Oryzias latipes: one gene and its partner. The protein of the gene in region 1 interacts with the protein of each later gene in a pairwise test. Links are inferred from orthologs where the notes say so. Each region holds a gene or a part of one and is shown on either strand. Other genes may lie near its edges. The genes, in order: rap1gds1 and pleckstrin homology domain-containing family B member 1.

Region 1 (9,133 bases):
ACCGCTGCACTAAATGATCAACTACTGCTGGGTCTGCTATGGCAGGTAGGTGGAAGGTGGAATCCAAATGCGCACACAGCTTTCCGGGTAACAAGTTTTATTTTAAACAGAGGGAGGATGGCGAGCTGGCAGATTTGCAGGCAGGCAGACAGACAGGAAGGCAGGCAGGAGGGCTGACAGGTGTGCAGGCAGGCAGTCAGGCAGATAGACAGACAGATTAGCTGGGAGCTGGATCTTGGGAGGGAGAAACAGGAGGATCAAGGCAATGTTCCACCAAGTCTGTCTACTCCCCGAAGATGGACCATTGTTGAGATGAGAAGAATCACCTGATATTTACCAATGGTGTGTACCACCATTTGGTACAACCTGCTGTAAGGATTCAGTGGTTTGGTTTTCTTTGTCATGTTTTTGGTTTCCTTGTCAGTCACACCTTCAGGTTCATGATCCACAGCTGTCTTCAGTTCAGTTAATTGCCCTCAGCCTATTTAAGTGTCTTGGTTTCTGTTCTTCCTTGTCAGGTCATCTGCTCTGTTTTGTCACAGTTTTGTTTCCCCTCATAGTTTGGTCATGTTTCAGTTTGCTAATTAAATGTTTTAGTTCCAGTCATCAAGCTTGGTCTCCTGCATTTGGGTCCTCCACCACCAGTTCGTGACAGAATGACCTGACCAGCTTGGACCCAGCAGGGGAGTTTTCCATCATGCCCATTCCGTGCCTTGCCAGATGAGTTCCTGCAGCATTGTTCATGCTATGCCCTTCCACATCAAGCCTATCTGTTCCTGAGGGGGATTGCCGGGACCATCTTTCAAGCATCAAGTTTCCTGTGGAGGGTCACCGGGGCCGCTCCTCTTCATGTCTGTTCCTGAGGAGGGTCGCCGGGCCCACACTTCATGTCCCCTGTCCCGGAGGATGGTCACCATTCCCCCTTGGCTGTGTCACCTGGTCCAGAAGAGGGTCACCAGTGCTGCTCCCCTTAATGGTTCCTGTCCCTGGAGAGAGCAATTGGGACTTCTAATCTTCATGCCTGTTCACAGAAGGGGTTCTGATGCCCCTCACTTCCGTCTGGCTGCAGGAACCCAAACCGTTCTGGACTTGTTTTTTCATTTTCTGTTCCTCCAGGTCCCCTCCTCCTAGGGGTTTTTGGGCATCTGGGATCTGCCCTTTTCGGGAGGGGTACTGTAAGGATTCAGTGGTTTGGTTTTCTTTGTCATGTTTTTGGTTTCCTTGTCAGTCACACCTTCAGGTTCATGATCCACAGCTGTCTTCAGTTCAGTTAATTGCCCTCAGCCTATTTAAGTGTCTTGGTTTCTGTTCTTCCTTGTCAGGTCATCTGCTCTGTTTTGTCACAGTTTTGTTTCCCCTCATAGTTTTGTCATGTTTCAGTTTGCTAATTAAATGTTTTAGTTCCAGTCATCAAGCTTGGTCTCCTGCATTTGGGTCCTCCACCACCAGTTTGTGACACCTGCAGTCCATGCTGTGTGATCTTTGCCCTCCAGAAAGACTGGAGAGATCAACTAAAGATGGCATAGACATCCTTCCATCCATTGAGAAGTCATTCTATGTGGATAACGCCTACAAAGTCTCTCTATGGCTGAGTCGGCTGAGAAGCTTGTAGAGGAGATGAGGAAGTGTCTAGCTTCAGGAGGGGTTGAGATCAGGCAGTGGGCAAGTGACATCAGAGCTGTTGTGTTTTTTATCTGCCCTCTTCAGCTCGATCGGAAAACACTGAACTGTGGTTGTCTGAAGAACCCACAGACCCTTAATAACCTGTGTCAATGGCACTGCCCCACAGACCACCTCTGCTACCGCACCAGGCCAAGCAAAGATGAGACTCCAACACTCCATTACATATACAAAGCAGCAGCAGCAGCAGAGAAACACCAGCAGCAGCGTTGGTAAAGTCCACCTCTTTTACTCTGAATGTGATTTTTTTTTTTTGATGTGTAACTCTGGATGGTGTAATGTGTAATCTGGTCTAATGTAATCTTTCAAAATAGTTTCTTTCCGACTGCCCTAAAATGTTAAACATGCATCTTGTTGTATAAATTGTGTTAGTTTTGGGAGCTTTCTTTATATTAATTATTTTTTTTATTATTATTACTAATTCTCTGTTAAACAATTTTAACACATATTGAAGCACTTATGTAGTTTTATGCATTATTTATCATTTCAGTAAGTTCTTTTAACCTTTTTGTGTTAAATGGATGAATGTAGGACCGACCAGACAGTGACAATAAAGATCTATCTGTCCGTCCGTCCGTCTGTCCGTCCGTCCGTCCGTCCTGTTAACTGACTCATTTTACCCATAAAATAAAGAGAATGAACTGCATTTGTTTTATTTACAGGATGACCCACCTATTGAACTGAAGTATCAATATTCAGCTAATACTTAATTATGGTGGTATAATAATTATTAATTATTATTTTATTATTATTTACCAAGGCTGTGTCCCACCAAGGTGGGGTAGCCTAGACAAGGCACACAATTTTAGCTCCCTCTGTCTCTTCCCCAAACCCTCCTCCTTCAGTGCGTGTGTGCGTATGTGCACATAATTATTAATAATAATATTAATAGTATCCACTGATCAGTGTTCTAATTTATTAAACTCCTTCCATGCTTACAGCACAAGGTGCTTGACATAAAATATAAACATGGGTTAAAACAAAAAAGAAATAAAACACCATAAACTACAAACAAAAATCAAAAGATGAATAGTTCTTGTTTGAGAAAGCTCTGTAAATGTTATTTATGATAATTATTATTATTAGGCCTAAAATAATTACTTTTTTAAATCATATTTACATCTGTTGTATATTTTTAATCCTGACTTTTTTTATTGCTCTTTTTTGATAATGTTTTCTATCATTTTTAGTTTTTGTACTCCTGGAACTGCATCTTTTATTGTATTGCATATGTGAGTTTTTTTTAATGATCGGATTTTAAGTCTGTAATAAATCCAATGTGTATATTTATCTAATAGAAGTCTCTCTCTGGCATCCTTCTGCCTCTAGAGACAATGGAGTCTGCACCTGAATTCTAGTTTGTTGTCGGACAGCGATATCTATATAAACTACTGTATGCGCTCACAAGTGTAATGAATAGATATGTTTCCAACTGTGCATAAATATTGGAGTTTATGCATGGACACACACTCAAGAGGCTGTTTTGTGACGCTTATATTGTATTGTTTGCCGAGTGTTTTGGTTATTTTATGCAATACGTTTTCTTGAAATGATTTATAAAGGAACTGACTGTGGAGATGGTTATAAATTGATATTTGTAAGTAAATCTTTTTATCTCTCTGGTATTTTGTGATGACACCAGATTAAAAAATTCTCTCTAACTCCCCCTGCTGGTGATCTGTGACTACTACAAACTTTACCTTTTTTTTTTATTTGCTGCTTTATTTTGAAGGTTGGGCCGGAAGTGATCTCCGGTTGACTGCAGCCGTCAGTCGGAGCCAGTTGTAGCGGAGCCGCTAGCCCGTCCGCCGTTACCGTGGATATGAGAGGAGGTGGGACGCGTTAGCAGCCGCTGGTGTACAGGCCGCGGCGGAGTAGCGTTTGTTTCAGCCGGACTCCACCGTCCGTGACGCCCGCCGGCGCTCCGAGCTAGCTGTCGTGCTAACCTGTTAGCTTCCACGCGCCAGCCTGACCAGCAGAGCGGGAGCCGAACGGCGCGGACTCCTGCGGGTTCGACTCTCGGTTTACGGAACCACCCTCGTCCCCCCGACGAGGGTTCATTCCGCGGAGATGGGTAAGTTGGACGGCTAGCTGGGATGCCGGAGACGGTTAGCTTGAAGAAAAAAACCTAAACGATGGTGGTCAGAAACGAGCCCTGGAGGGCTCAGCGGGCTGGGGGGGGCATGTCGGGGGCTCAGCGGCGGCGGCTGGGCGGGGTGCCTCCCTGCCGCCCGTCCGCGCCTCCTGCAGCATGTTTTCCGGGGACACGGCGGCTGAACTGAAGGCGGCCCGTCCCCGCAGCTGTTATGTAATGTCAGCGGCCTGCAACGCGCAGCTGCTCCCGCTGCAACACTGCGGACGCCCCCCGCTTACTGATGCGGCTCCTCCGCTGTGCATCCTCCGACACGCTGCAGCCCCCCCGCGACAGACGGGCAGTTTATATAAGACCGTCTGTGAGGAAGAGACTGAGGAGGAGGAGGATGGTTTGTTGGCAGCAATAATCGGGTCACTGCAACACTTTGTGGATCCTTATGCAATAATTGCAGGGAGGCTCAGGATTTAGCAGCACACCTGCCATGATGAAGATGATGATATAAACATACACCTGCCATGATGATGATTACGATGATGAAGATGAGGCTCTGAAATAAACATACACCTGACATGATGATGATGATGATGAAGACGAGGCTCTGATATAAACATACACCTGCCATGATGAAGATGATGATGATGATATAAACATATACCTCAGGGCTCCAGACTAACTTTTTCACTAGGAGCACTGTGGCCCCTAACTGAAAATTTTAGGGGCACAACCAGAAAATTTAGGGGCGCATACCGTAAATCAACATTCTAACCAAATCTACAAATTTCCACTGTATTACTAATAAATACTTTAATAATAGATGCAGAAATTACAATGTGCTGTTTCTAATTCAGTGTCACATTTTATTCTTCACTTTTGAAGATGCAACAAGAAGGTAAACTGACATCACCATCGCTGTCATGACAGTACAAATAAGTTAAGAAAACGGATGGATATTTATCTTTGTGACACCAAATAGGTGCAGCCAAGCGGCACAGTAAGTGTGTTTGAGGTCACCCAGGTGAACTCAACGCTGTGCAGATCACCTGGTGTGTGACATATATTTTTGTTTTTGCTCCAACATCACCTGTCAATCATCACAAAAATATCAGGAGAAAGGGGTGGGAGCAAGGGGCAAACCTACCCGGACACAGCTGGAAACTGAACTGACTGAAAGCTGCCCTACAGACTACAAAACAATGCATTATGGGACATGTGTCCTGATGGTTTTTGTAGTGGAGTGATTAATTAAAATAATTTAAAATACCAATTCATTAAAAAGGCTACATACATCACAAAACATTAAAATAATCATAAAATATATAATAACACAGATCATACTAAGGGGGAGAAGAATATTAAAACTAAATTGAATGTTAAGGACAACTCCAACTTCCTGTTCTCCTTCAGTCTTGCTGCAGATTCGCTTTCATCTCACAGCCCCCCCGCCCCCCAAACGATCCAGGTGAGGTGTCGGTTCAACTCAAACACGTCTATCGTTGCATTTTCCCCACGTATTTTCAGTGTGTCTAAAACTAATGTTGTTTTTGCTGGAGCGTGTTTAAAGTTCAAGCCCCGTTAGCTGTCACGCATGTAGGTGTGGGACATTTATTCTCCTCAGCTGACCCGACTCCCGCGGGACGGGAGCGGTGTGCTGCCGTAACGGCCGTGCATAACCGTTTGATGCGCCGCCGTAACCGTAACCGAAACACTAAACCTTCCTCCAGGTCTGTGCGGCCCAGAGAAAAGTTCAGCACTGACTGCATGTATTTAGAAAATTACAAGCGAATAAATACGTTCTAAAGGAAAGTAAGGAACTCCTTAATGTGGTCCGGGGAGGGAGGGGGCTGTCAGGTTTCCTGCTTTCAAGCCCGGTCATTGCCACGCCCCCAAGAGTCATATACCCCACTGTGATTGGTTGCTTTGTCAGCTCCGCGCACGACAATGAAAAAGTGTCATTCATACAAACTGGCGGGCTGCAGTAACATTAAACCTTCATGTTAAGTATCATCAAAATAGATCAATCAAAATATCATCTTGGGGGCCGCAAATAGCCTGCGGGCCGCGAGTTTGAGACCCCTGCTGTACACTCTGGCACTGGTACACTAGCCGCAGGTCGGAAGAACGAATCAATAGTTCGCTTGCTCATAGTTCAGACGCACATATCAGGTTGTGATATTTGTCTCCGTTTCCTTCCCACAGATGTTTACGAGCACTCTATCTCTAGGCCCCTCCCCCTCCACGCATTTTAGCCACTCACAGTGGCTTTCCCTATTCTTCTCACACGCAGTGGCCGCCTCACAGATGGGCATCACTCGAGAGTGTACGTGCTCGCGTTTCATGAGTATGTGCACGAGTGTGTGTGTCTGCCTGCGTGCGTGTGGGCTTGCGTCTCATTGATTATTTCATCGATCATTGACGTGCCCCTTCCACGTTTAATGTATAAAAAAATACGGAGGGTGGGGGAGGCAAATTTACTGGTCGCACATGTGCGACTGGATGTAAAATTCAGTCGCACACTCTCAAATTTTGGTCGCAAAATGCGACCAATTGCTCGCAGTCTGGAGCCCTGCACCTGCCATGATGACGATTACGATGATGAAGATGAGGCTGTGATATAAATATATACCTGCCATGATGAAGATGAGCCTCTGACATTAACCTACATCTGACTGCATCTACAGCGACGCTTCCCGCAGTAGGAAACGTTTCCGAGGGAGATCATGCGTGTGTTTTTCTAGGGTCGTATATTTCTCTCCGTCACATGACTCTGTCCTCATCTTCATACAGGCTCCACCAACCAAAGATTGAATAACTTTATGGTGGAAACGTTACATTCTTCTACCTAAAGAGATGCAATCTAGAGATTTATAATTTATTTGGGACTATAAGTAAAAATGTCTTTTAACAGATAAACTCTTTGTAATCTTTATTTTAATCAACAAAACAGCTTCAAACATTCAAACCTGATTTTTTGGGTCTTTTAGACCGTTTTGCTCTTTGTGTTAAAATAAAGTGTATTTCTTCACGTGTTGTTGGTCAGTGCTGTGAAAACATGTTTTTAATGTTTCCTGAACACACAACCCTCCCTGTGGTTCACCTTCAGCCAATTGGAATTGACCCGACTTGGTAAAAGGAAGCCTGTGATTGGATGTCTTTGTGTTTACATCACACGTCCATAAAAAGACGGATAGCGTTTACCAGAAACTGATCATTTATTTCCTTCTTACCAACACAACCTTCTGCATATCTTTGGTTTCAACCTAGGGCTGCACGATATAAGGAAAACTTGTGACATTAGTGATCAATATTGCAATGACAATATAACTTACGGTACAGGAACAAATAGTAAAACAATCAAAAACATAATTTCCCTTTCATTTTAAAAATCATACTCAAATGACCATTGTCTACATAGTAGGTGAACATCTAACACAATAGGGCTCCATCCGATTGGTCAACACGTGAAGGTGTCCATCCCATTGGTCAAATGCATATAGGATATATTTGATTGGTTAAATACTTGAAGCTGCCATAAGATTGTTTTAGCCCGTTTAAGGGAACCATTTATTTCAATTTTCGCCGTCTTTTGCGACATGCATATTGCACAGCTTGATATCGCGATAATGATAAATTTGCGATTTATTGTGCCGGCCTATTTCAACCGATTCCACTGTTACTGTCAGAACTGGCCGCCGTGGTGCTGAGGTAAGGTGGTCGACCTCTGATCGATACATGGTAGTTTTGGTTCCCGCCTTGCCCACCCATGGGATGAAGTGTCGGTTGGTAGGACGCTGAACCCCACATTGCTCCTGGTGGTTATAGGTCGGTGCCAGTGTTGGTCAACCAAGGTACTAAAGTGCTATAAAAGGATCTGCCTTTGACCATACCTAGATCCATTTTCCTATGCGTGTCTGTGTCCTTTACATCTCCAATTTTTTCTTAGTCTCTTAACAAAGAGTGGACTAAGTGTTCCAACAATCCACATATTTCAGCTGAACCTGTCACCCATTTTTATTTATTTATTTATTTGGAGCCCCATTAGCTTCCACAAAGTGGTCGCTAGTCTTCCTGGGGTCCATACGCAAAAAATACATACATTTTACCAATTTCAAAAAAAACAAAACTGATTTCACAAAATACAGTGACTAATTCATCATATTTACCTTAAAATCTTCACATGTTAAAATAAGTTAAAACAATTTCATTTTTATACCAGCATATCAAAATACATAGCAACATATCGACATCAACAATAATACATTTCATAACAGCAAATCATTCAAATTCAAATGCTAGCCTTAGACCGCTTTATGATAGAGGAAACAGGCAAAGTCTGACACTGACACATTATACAAAACTAAAAATGACGGTCATTGGTCCCAAAGCTCATGGTAGACAAACATCCCAACAAGCACACATGGAAGTCTCATGTGTTGTTGAATGTTGTAGTCCGTTCTTGGAGCTTGGAAGTTACCCAGAGTCCATCATCCACTGTCTCTCTCCAGTTTGAATAATTGATGTAAAATCTCAGATTCAATTAAGAATCTCCACCTCCAATGATAGTTTCTGTAGAAGTGCATTACAGCTTCCAGTAATTACTGAGAAACAAATGACTTTCGATTAGATCAAAGCTACCTTAAGGAGAGGAAAGGGATCCGCTTTAGTTCTAGAACAAAGACGATGAGCCACAGTTTTGCTGCTAAATGTATTTGGGTAAGCGGGAAAGGCTGGTCCCTGCAGCCATCACTTCCTGTTCATGGTCATGGAGAGGCTGGAAACCACCCAGCTACAGCCCATCACAGACACACAACCAAACCCACAGACACACAACCAAACCCACAGACACACAACCAAACACAGACACACAACCACACACACATGTACAAACGCCAGTCAAGCGTGTTTTTGGACTCTGGGAGGAAGCTGGAGAAAACCCACACATGAACGTGAAGAACACGCAAATTCCAGAGGCTAGAGCGCTAACCACCACACCGAGTCAAGCAAGGAACCAAGGATTCTCCATGTATTTCAATGGAGGGAGAAATCCTGGAATATCTTGAAAAGTTCAAAGGATTTGAAGGACCAAAAGTCATAGCTGGAAAAAGCTGAAAGAGCTGAACATTTGAATAGTTGGATGTTTAGAATAGATGAAACATTGCAGGAGGAGTTAAGCAGCAAAAAATGGAGGAAGATACTAGAATAAAGAAAGAGAAACAGGAAAACGAAGGTTGAATACTTTATTGTATTCTTCCCACTAGAATAAACGGCGTTCTTATAGGTAGGATGGCTCAGACTTCATGGGTCCCGCAGCAGACTGGGGTAATTAGAAAAACCATGACAGTGCGGTCCGGTTTACGTGGT
Region 2 (8,619 bases), on another chromosome or scaffold:
CCTGCAGTCACCCAGGCAGGTAAAATGCTCAAAACTGACCCGAGGACTATTATGCTAATCCTCATGTTGTTGATCTGAGGGATTAACGAGTAAAACTTGCTTTAAAACTTCAACATCTGCCATGTTCATCACGTTTAGACTTAAGGAGAATGTCATTTGTGCATTAGAACAAAGTCTTCACAAGGTAGAGGCCACCATGGAAAATAAAGAGACAGATATAGTGAGGAGGGATAATCTGTGAGGGCGTGGTCTCATAATCCAGAAGGATCCTGTAAACCAGTCCTGGTAGGAACCAGATTTATCTGCAAGTGTGCAACGATCCAAGGAGGAAATATCAAAACAAGCACACGTTTGGATCCCATCAGCTGGTAAACAGCGAGACCTTCTTCTGGTCGTGAAGGGGGCAAACAGAAGCAACAGGACGGACAGCAGCTGAGGAACATGGCACTCCTGAAGTCAGGGTGGCTCTGGAGACAGAGTGAGTGAAAAGATTTAAACCCAGACATTTACATTTTAACCCTTGTGCTATCCTAGGCACTTAAACATTGGGAGTTGGGTCATCTAGACCCACTAGACAGTGCTCTGAACCTTTTTTCTTCAATGATTTGTGATCTTCACTGGTGTCCATGGATTACATGAAATCTTTCCACCTTTATCCACCTTTGTCATGGTAGGGAGAACACGTCAAAGTAAGGGTGGGGTCATCTAAGATAGCACAAGGGTCAACACTTCCTCCACGTATTATTCTTTTTCCTCCCCCATGTTAAATGTCAACTTTGTGCCACGTCTGGCAAACCAAAGAATCCGTTTCCAGATCTCTATAAACGATATTCATTTTTAAATTATTTTAAACCTAAAGAAGAAAAAAGTAAAAATCATTTTTTTACTTAAAAACTATATATAGTATAATTACATTATACAAATATTAATGGGGATGATATGATTTATCATAAAGTTCCTAACATGAAATATTTCAAAAACAACATTGAAGGAATTTGTAAAACCTGCAAAGTTATTCTAATGGTAAAGGAAACAAAAAGAAAAGAAAAGCAAAGGTACTAAACTTAAATCAGTTTCTAAATAGTTTAATCCCTAAAAAATAAAGTTTTTCATTACCGTGAAGGGGGGGGGGGGGGTTCTAAGGGCAGGGATGTCAGTTTAGTTTAGTTTGTTTAATTAAAGTTGTGGTATTATCCTATTAAATTCTATGCATTTATGAACCTTTTTGATTTTATGTTTAGTTTACAATTACTGGTACAAAATCCACTGAGACGACTGTTGTGAATTTGGGCTATATAAATAATTGAATTGAATTAACTAAGGTTTAAGGCCCCAAACATCAACATCCCTAAAGTGCTTTGTTAAAAAAGGTCATTGGAAGGATCTAAATTAATCTCCTTTGTCACTTGCATGTTCGAAATAAATGAATGTTTTTTTAAACGTAAAACCAAAGCATCTGGATTTTTCACTTGTAAAACACATTTCATCACTGAGCCTTGTGTGTTTTTTTGTAAGTCTGAGTCCATCTCAGCAGTTCAGTAGGACACAGATGAGCTTGTCCTGATGACAAAACAGCCACTAGAGGGCAGCAGAGAGCACACAGCCTCTCAGTTGGCTGAACTTCATCTCAATATAAAGAAAAATTAGGAAGAAAAAAATCAAATATGTCAGATTTTTTTTTGGGGGCAAAAACAAGTTAAACCAAAATGGTTCATAGATCTGAAATCCTAATACAGACTTAAACTTTGTTATAGAAGATATTTAAAAAAACAGTCAATTATGGGTTATAACTCAAATTTATTTAAGAAGTATATATTTTAAGTATATAAAAACAGATGTTACCTAACTTTTTGTCTTAAAAAAAACAAAAAGGCGGCTGTATTTTGGTAACTCGCAGCCTAATATTCTAACAAATGTAGGTCACCTTTAAAGATTTGTCCATCTGACCTTCATGACTATCAGTAATGCTATAAAAAATTTTTTTTTGAAATTTGACTCAAAAGAGCATATATTTTGGAAAATAAAAGGCGTTCCTGTTATGAAACCTTAGCCTTTATAATCCTTTTATTTGTCCTGGCCCATGTGTGTAAGTGGCTTACAAAAGGATCATCAGTGTGAAGGAACTGTTGGAGAAACATTCAAGAGAAAGTCTGTCACAAGAAACTGTGAGCTGAAGAAAGTACTGGAGGCTTCTAATGCAAGCCTGTGAAAGCAAAAACACTACAGATGCACGAAAGAGAGATCCTACCCTCCCAGTTTCCAGCTCCTACAGCCCCTGACGTTGCGCTGCATCTGCTCTGTAGCTGCGGTGCTGAAACGCTGGAAGCTCAACTGGTGTGACCTCTGGATCGATGGGAGTCTGTGCTTCTACAAGACTGACAGCAGGCGGGATCTGGAGCTGCGCGTCAGCCTCAAGATGAAATGTATCGACGTCCGGTCTGGCCTGGAGTGTGGAGGTAAGGCATGGGGACTGGACTGTCAGGCACTTACAGCCTGGCATGAATGATTTAGTGCCGTTCTGTGCAATAAACCTGACATGAGCTCTGCTTTCACCAGGCCTGGAAATGAAAACTACTCCAGTTTTTCATTTGTTATGGGGTAATTGTGAGAACATTTGAGCAGTTTTTGATTGTATTTAATCAAGAGGCCACTTTATTTTTGAATAATACCATGACTTAAAGGGGGTCTCATCCAGACGAACGTTTTTCTATCGTTTCGCACCCTAACTCACCTATCTTACAAGAATTGATCGCAATAAAGGCCAATTCCAAGGCCAAAAAATTGTGCTTTGGGTATTTTTACCACGTTCTTGGGATATTTTTCTAATGGTGGCAGATACATACAAAGAAAACCGACCTCAAAAACTGCATTTTTAAAAAAAATTCAAATAGTTGTGAATCAGGAGCCGATGGAAAAAAAATGCAGTGTAAAAGAAAAAAAATGTGATGTAGCTATATGCTGAGCGGGCCACAAACTCCCTGCTCCAAGCTCTCAGGAACTGGGAGGGGAATGGGGGGCGGGCATTACCCTGCACCAATGGTCCCGCCTACAAGTCAAAGGCAAATTGCAAATGAACTCCTGCTGCTCTGTTCTTGAAAAGCAAATTTTTTTAGCTGAAAACAGCACAATCACAATTAAAAGACCAGTGGAAACAGATTTAAAATAAGTCAAAAGATGATCAGAGTGGGACTTCAACTGTCGGATTTAAATTATCTAAACTTGGGATTAAAGAAAAGAAGAGCACAATTTCTGTACAACAAGTTGGGGAAAAAAAGCAACAAAAGCTGAATCTGAAATGTCAAAACCTCCCTATAAATGTTCTGACAGGTAACTTTGACTGCTGCTGCTCTGCAGAAAAGCAACCAAACGGATCTCTGTAGAACTCTGAACATGGAGCAGGTACCTGAACAAGGTCTGTATTTTTTTTCTGTCCGTAGGGGTGAATCCACCAGAGAGCAGTCCCAGGGAGAATCTGATGGTGCTTCACTTCAGAGACGGTTCAACGCTCAACCTGTGTGCCAACAGTGAAGACGAGTCTCTGTAGGCGCCTCACCCCGCCGGCTCTGCCCTTCCTCTTGGCCGTTCATCCGTCCATCCCTAACACCTCTACGTTTCTCTTTCAGAGCGTGGAAACTGACGATGCTGGACACCAGGAGAAACCCGGTGAGGCCTCCGTTCATGTTTTCTCAGAAGCAGGAGTGTGATCCTCCCAGTGCTAACAGGAGCACTTTGTTTCAGGTGTTCCAGTACGACCCGTATGACGACTCCTACCAGGCCGTTCCTCTCAACAGCTACCACACCGTCTACATAACTCCAGGAGCAGGTCCAGGTACGCCGCCCTCCATGCAGAATAGTACACAGGCAATGGAGAAATACTTCATGGAGGCCATGCAGACGTTTGAAACACAGAAGTCAAAGAAAAGCATCACTGGTGACGAGCAGCAATGTGCAAACATTTCTACAGCGATGGTAGGGTTACGCAAAAGAAGGAAACGAGTCTCCGGGGTCTTCAGGTTAGGGTTGAACATCAACAAGTGTCTCAGAACCATCCCCAAGCTGATGGAGCCAAAAAAAAAAAAAAAAAAAATGGGGGAAGCAGCTTTCTGATGAACCCAGGTGTTCACCAACTCTGTATTAAAGTCTCAAAATTCAGATAAAGTTCTGATTCGGTGTTTACCTAATGTCCTCCATTTATGGTGTACAGATTTTGCGTCGTTGAAGGTTTTAAAAAAAAAAAAAAAAAGCTGCAAGCGGCTTTGTATGGCCCAAAAGAGCCCCCCTCCTGCACTGGATGAGCCGCTGCTGCACTCTCTCCTGGTCATTTATCATGAAAAATGCACTTTTCTTCAGAAGGGCTTCTCTTTTGATGGTAATATCTCGATAGCAGCCATGTAATGTTTTGTTTGCCTCGGGGTGACGAACACTTTTATGTAATTTTTAGAAGAATAAGTAAAAGTACATTTTTTTTTTAACCACACCCACAGTCCTAATATGTTCATATTGTAATTTTTTGTTCAACTTGAACCAAGAATTCATATCGCCTATAATTGTACCCCCCCCTTCCCCCAACCTAGCCTCTTACTGATGCTTAAGGAGTAAAGAGGTGATCGATTGAAGCCTCCTTAGGATCTGATGGGTTCGGTTTAATGTCTGACGCGCTTATAAAATACGCCACAGTCCATTCCGTTATTTTTACGTGTTTATTTACATTTACAGAAATAAATCAGAGGGAGGAAATAATAAGTTGACTTTGTGTGAATTGGGAAAAATGGGTAGAGAAAGCAAAGAAAGCAGTGGTGTAAGTAAAAAAATAAAAAAAATAGTGGTGAACAGAAATAAACAGCCAAGGCTCTCCTTCTCCAGTGCAAATGAGCGGGTGGTTTTCTAACCTTTCATTCCGGTGTTGTCAATTACCAAAATCAGAAAAAGAAAAAAGGTATAACATGCAACACTACTAGGAAAACAAACGGGGAAAGAAACTTATACTTCATTACCTATTTTTTGTGCAAAAAAAAAAAAAAAGTGAAAAGTTGCCAAATTTCACATCTTACCACTAAAGGTCCTGTGGCCATCCCATAATAATTTCAAAACTTCCTTTGAATATTCCCGACACATGTGTTTTGGTTTCGTTTGTAGAATTTTGATAAAATTTTTTGAGCCTTGTAAGAATTTATGGAGCCCCTAAAGGGACATGGACATTAAAAAGAACAAACAAGTAAATTAATAAAAACGTCCCTTTAGGAGCTCCATAGATTACCTCCCGCTGTGATGTCACTATGCCGTAATTCCTTTTTATCAAGTACTAGGTTAACTTTGAATAGTTTTTGAGTGACATTTTTGTTCAAACATGGAGTAAGAAAGAATAATTTAAATAGAAAAATAAACAAATCTGGAGCAGGACGGTGAAGGGCTAAAAATAAGTGTAAAATTCCTCACTTTTGTCATCAAAGTGCCAGACGTTTGTTGGTTAGAATAAATTGAAGAGCCACATTCAGTCCTGCTTTTCTTTTTAAATCAAGGAACTCACCAGGTGGTGGTTCAGAGGGATCCATTTGATGGAGTTGTGGAGAGCGTGGCCCTGGGTCTGCTAGCGGGCGTGGCAGCAGGGGCCGCCATGCGATCCTTCCTCTGGATGCCCCTCTTCTTCTGCTGAGAGGTTCGGCCCCCCCACGCCAAACCTGTAGACCTCGTTCACGTCACCTGACATCGCAGACTCACTTGGAGGATCCCGATTACCTCTAAATCCAAAGCAGCTGTTTGCGGCCTCTTTCTGCTTGTACATATCTGACATCATCACTTGTAAAGCCTGAATTTTTCAGTGACATTTTGCACATTATGAGCTGAAGAATCAGTGTAGTTTGCATTTTTGTTAATCAGTACACTAGAAGTTGCTGAAATAAAGCATAACTTTGCTTCCTCCATGAAAAAAAAACAAAAGTCTTATTCTGCTTGGACACAATCCAAAGGCGGCTGCATCCTTTCAGCTGATTGGCTGGAGCCTCTGGTGTGACGCGACCTTCGGCATGAAAACCTGCGAATGAATGGTGCCGCACGAATTTAACACGGAGCACTCCAGAAGAAAAAACACAAGCTCTACCTTCACATGAGGTCGTTTTGTAGAATTATTTTCAGGGTCAAACAGCGAAGCTGGAGCGACTCCATCACCATGACAACGGAAAACTCCACATGCAGAGGATGAACACAGAGCAACACTTTGTTTAGAAAATGCTTCATTCTGGATTTTAGAACGGCGCAGAACTGCAATCCTGCATCTTCAACGGCATAAAATACGATCTTTTTCAAACAGCCTTTGTGATTTTAAGCTTAAAAAGCCACAAACAAAATGTTCAGAGCTTTAAGTACAGAACAAAGCAAAACTAAATGTGTCGAAACCCTCCGGACTCTGAACGTTTGTCAGATCCTCTTAGGATTCACGGAGCCAGCTGGTCTCTGCTGGAAGAATCTCTGGTCCGAACCACACGGGGTGAAGCCGCTTCTGCGTGGCTCGACGTTCATCCGTCTTTACTCCAGGCGCTAAAAACACGTCTGCAGATGAAGATCTGCTTCCACACACATTAAGCTGCTTCGTCTCGTTGAATTTAACATCAAATCGCTGCGTTGAACAGCTGAACTTCTGGATTATTTTCATCTCCTCAAAGAAAGTTGGAAATTTTAGACGTTTATTTAGAATTTTACAAAGTTTGAACACAGATTGTACATTTCCTATGATCATTATTTAACCCAAAAAGCAGCTTCCAACTCAATGTTGAGTCGTCCTCCTATGATGCTTTGATTTTATTGGTGAAAAATGAAAACAAATGGCGACGTGCAAACATTTTATAACAGGTATGTAAGATCCGTTTGTGGTTGTGATCCGTATAAAAGTGCATTAATAATACGTGGTGGCAAATCTGACTTTCAGACAAAAGCTGGAGGGTTCTGCATGTCTGACGGAACGGTTCCCGATCGAGACACCGTCAGCAGAATCTGGTCTGAATAGACATTTAAAGAACGTTTCGTTTCATTTAGGGACCACAGGCAGAACCAGAGGCGTATAGTTGGATGTTTAATTATCTGCAGTTTAGAGCTTTTTGCTTTAGGGAAAAAAAAAATATCAAATGTTCACTTTGTTAGCCAGTCTGGGAGGCAGAGTGCAAAGTTTGGCCAAAAAAAAAGAAAAAAATTAAAGAAGAAAGCAAGTGTTACATCTCCTCTTCAGCACGGTGGTGAAAGTGTTATCATTTGGGGTTTTTTCTGCAGTAGAGAGGTCAGTCAGTTAATTTTTCCCCCCTGCAAATTAAAAACTGGCTTTGCGATGAGACGAGCACATGGAAAAATCTGCAAAGCGAAATGACTCGAACAAATTCAGGCCCTCGGGATGAACAGAAGAAAGCTGAAGGCAGACGAACGGCTGGAATGAAAAGTGCTGCCGTTTACCCGAGCTTTCATTTTCCATCCTGCTATTATACGACTCTGACCCCGCCCCTCATAGAAGGAAACATGGCAAACATGAACTCTCAGACCCGCCTTTACGAGCGTAGCGCATTGTCTCTGTGAATGGCGTTCATCGCTGACTAGCCCCGCCTCCTTTTACTCGTCTTTGCGTCCGTTCTGCGTATGTCCGCTGGCGTGCTCTTTCGTCTTCCCCCGGCCGCTCAGCTTCCCTTCTGCCTGGAGTCTACGGACCACTTCCAGAGGACCCTTCCCCATCAGCGCCGACGGGTGCCTGTAGGAGCCCCCCAGGCGGTCCCACAGCGTGAAGTACTGCCCGTAGTTGTAGTCGAAGAAGAGGTGATGGTCGGTGTGGTGGGCGGAGCCGTTGATGACGCTCGTGAGGGTGTCGGGGACGCGGTAGTCGCCGTCGTGGATGGAGATGGTCCAGATGTTGACGAAGACGTAAAGGAGCAGGTAGAGAACCTTGTGGAGGGGGAAGAGGAAGGGGTAGATGTGGTAGGGCAGCCCCTGCAGGAAGCCGTCCACCGGGTGGAAGGCGTGGCTGGCGAAAGGGGTGGGGATCTTCCAGATGTGGTGCGGTTTGTGGAAAAGCTGATGGAAGACGAGTGGACAAAAAAACAACACATCCGTTCATTCAAAAGACGTCAGCAGCCTCAAAGAAAAGCAGAGGAAGACAGATTTTTGTTCACCTGAAAAATGTAAATGCTACAATAATTGACCGTTTAAGACATCAAGAGGCTGCAAACAATTTTTAGGTCTTTGACCCCTAAAGAAAAAGTTAATTTAGCATCAGAAGAATAAAAAAATTAAGGCTTTATTTTTCATTAGGGGGATCGGTTTTGAGTAAAACCTTCAGGAGTTTTAACTCTTAACCAGAAGGAGCTGCATTTCCAGAAGAAGATGCAGGGATGAATAGTTCTGAATAAAAATGAAACTTTAAAGGGAAGAATTGGCAAAAAACAATTATGTCTTTTCTTATGTTTAAGATTGAACATATTTGAGTCCTTCTCAAATTTAAGTAATTATTCTAGATTTGTAAAACTTTATGAACTTTAGTGATTCTTAATAGAAAAACCGAAATATCTTCAGCTGTAGGTAAAATCCACAAAACCAAGAGAACAGAGTAGGAAATACTTGCATATTCTATATTCAACATTAATTCTT

What was found.
Region 2: the proteins of rap1gds1 (region 1) and pleckstrin homology domain-containing family B member 1 interact in binary tests that used the Homo sapiens proteins (3 or more experiments, as listed by UniProt). The two-hybrid records come from large-scale screens. The link is inferred for Oryzias latipes from reciprocal best matches to the Homo sapiens genes RAP1GDS1 and PLEKHB1.

The regions. Positions count from the first base shown.
Region 1 is NC_019876.2:29,304,009-29,313,141, reverse strand, and holds the start of rap1gds1 (rap1 GTPase-GDP dissociation stimulator 1), read left to right. Parts: upstream 1-3,425; 5' UTR 3,426-3,750; coding exon 3,751-3,754; intron 3,755-9,133. UniProt on the Homo sapiens protein: Acts as a GEF (guanine nucleotide exchange factor) for the Rho family of small GTP-binding proteins (G proteins) that stimulates the dissociation of GDP to enable subsequent binding of GTP.
Region 2 is NC_019872.2:26,516,620-26,525,238, reverse strand, and holds pleckstrin homology domain-containing family B member 1, read left to right. Parts: upstream 1-247; 5' UTR 248-441; coding exon 442-478; intron 479-2,303; coding exon 2,304-2,456; intron 2,457-3,437; coding exon 3,438-3,540; intron 3,541-3,623; coding exon 3,624-3,663; intron 3,664-3,738; coding exon 3,739-3,829; intron 3,830-5,519; coding exon 5,520-5,653; 3' UTR 5,654-6,300; downstream 6,301-8,619. Other genes in the region: sc5d (lathosterol oxidase), read right to left, coding at 7,591-8,046.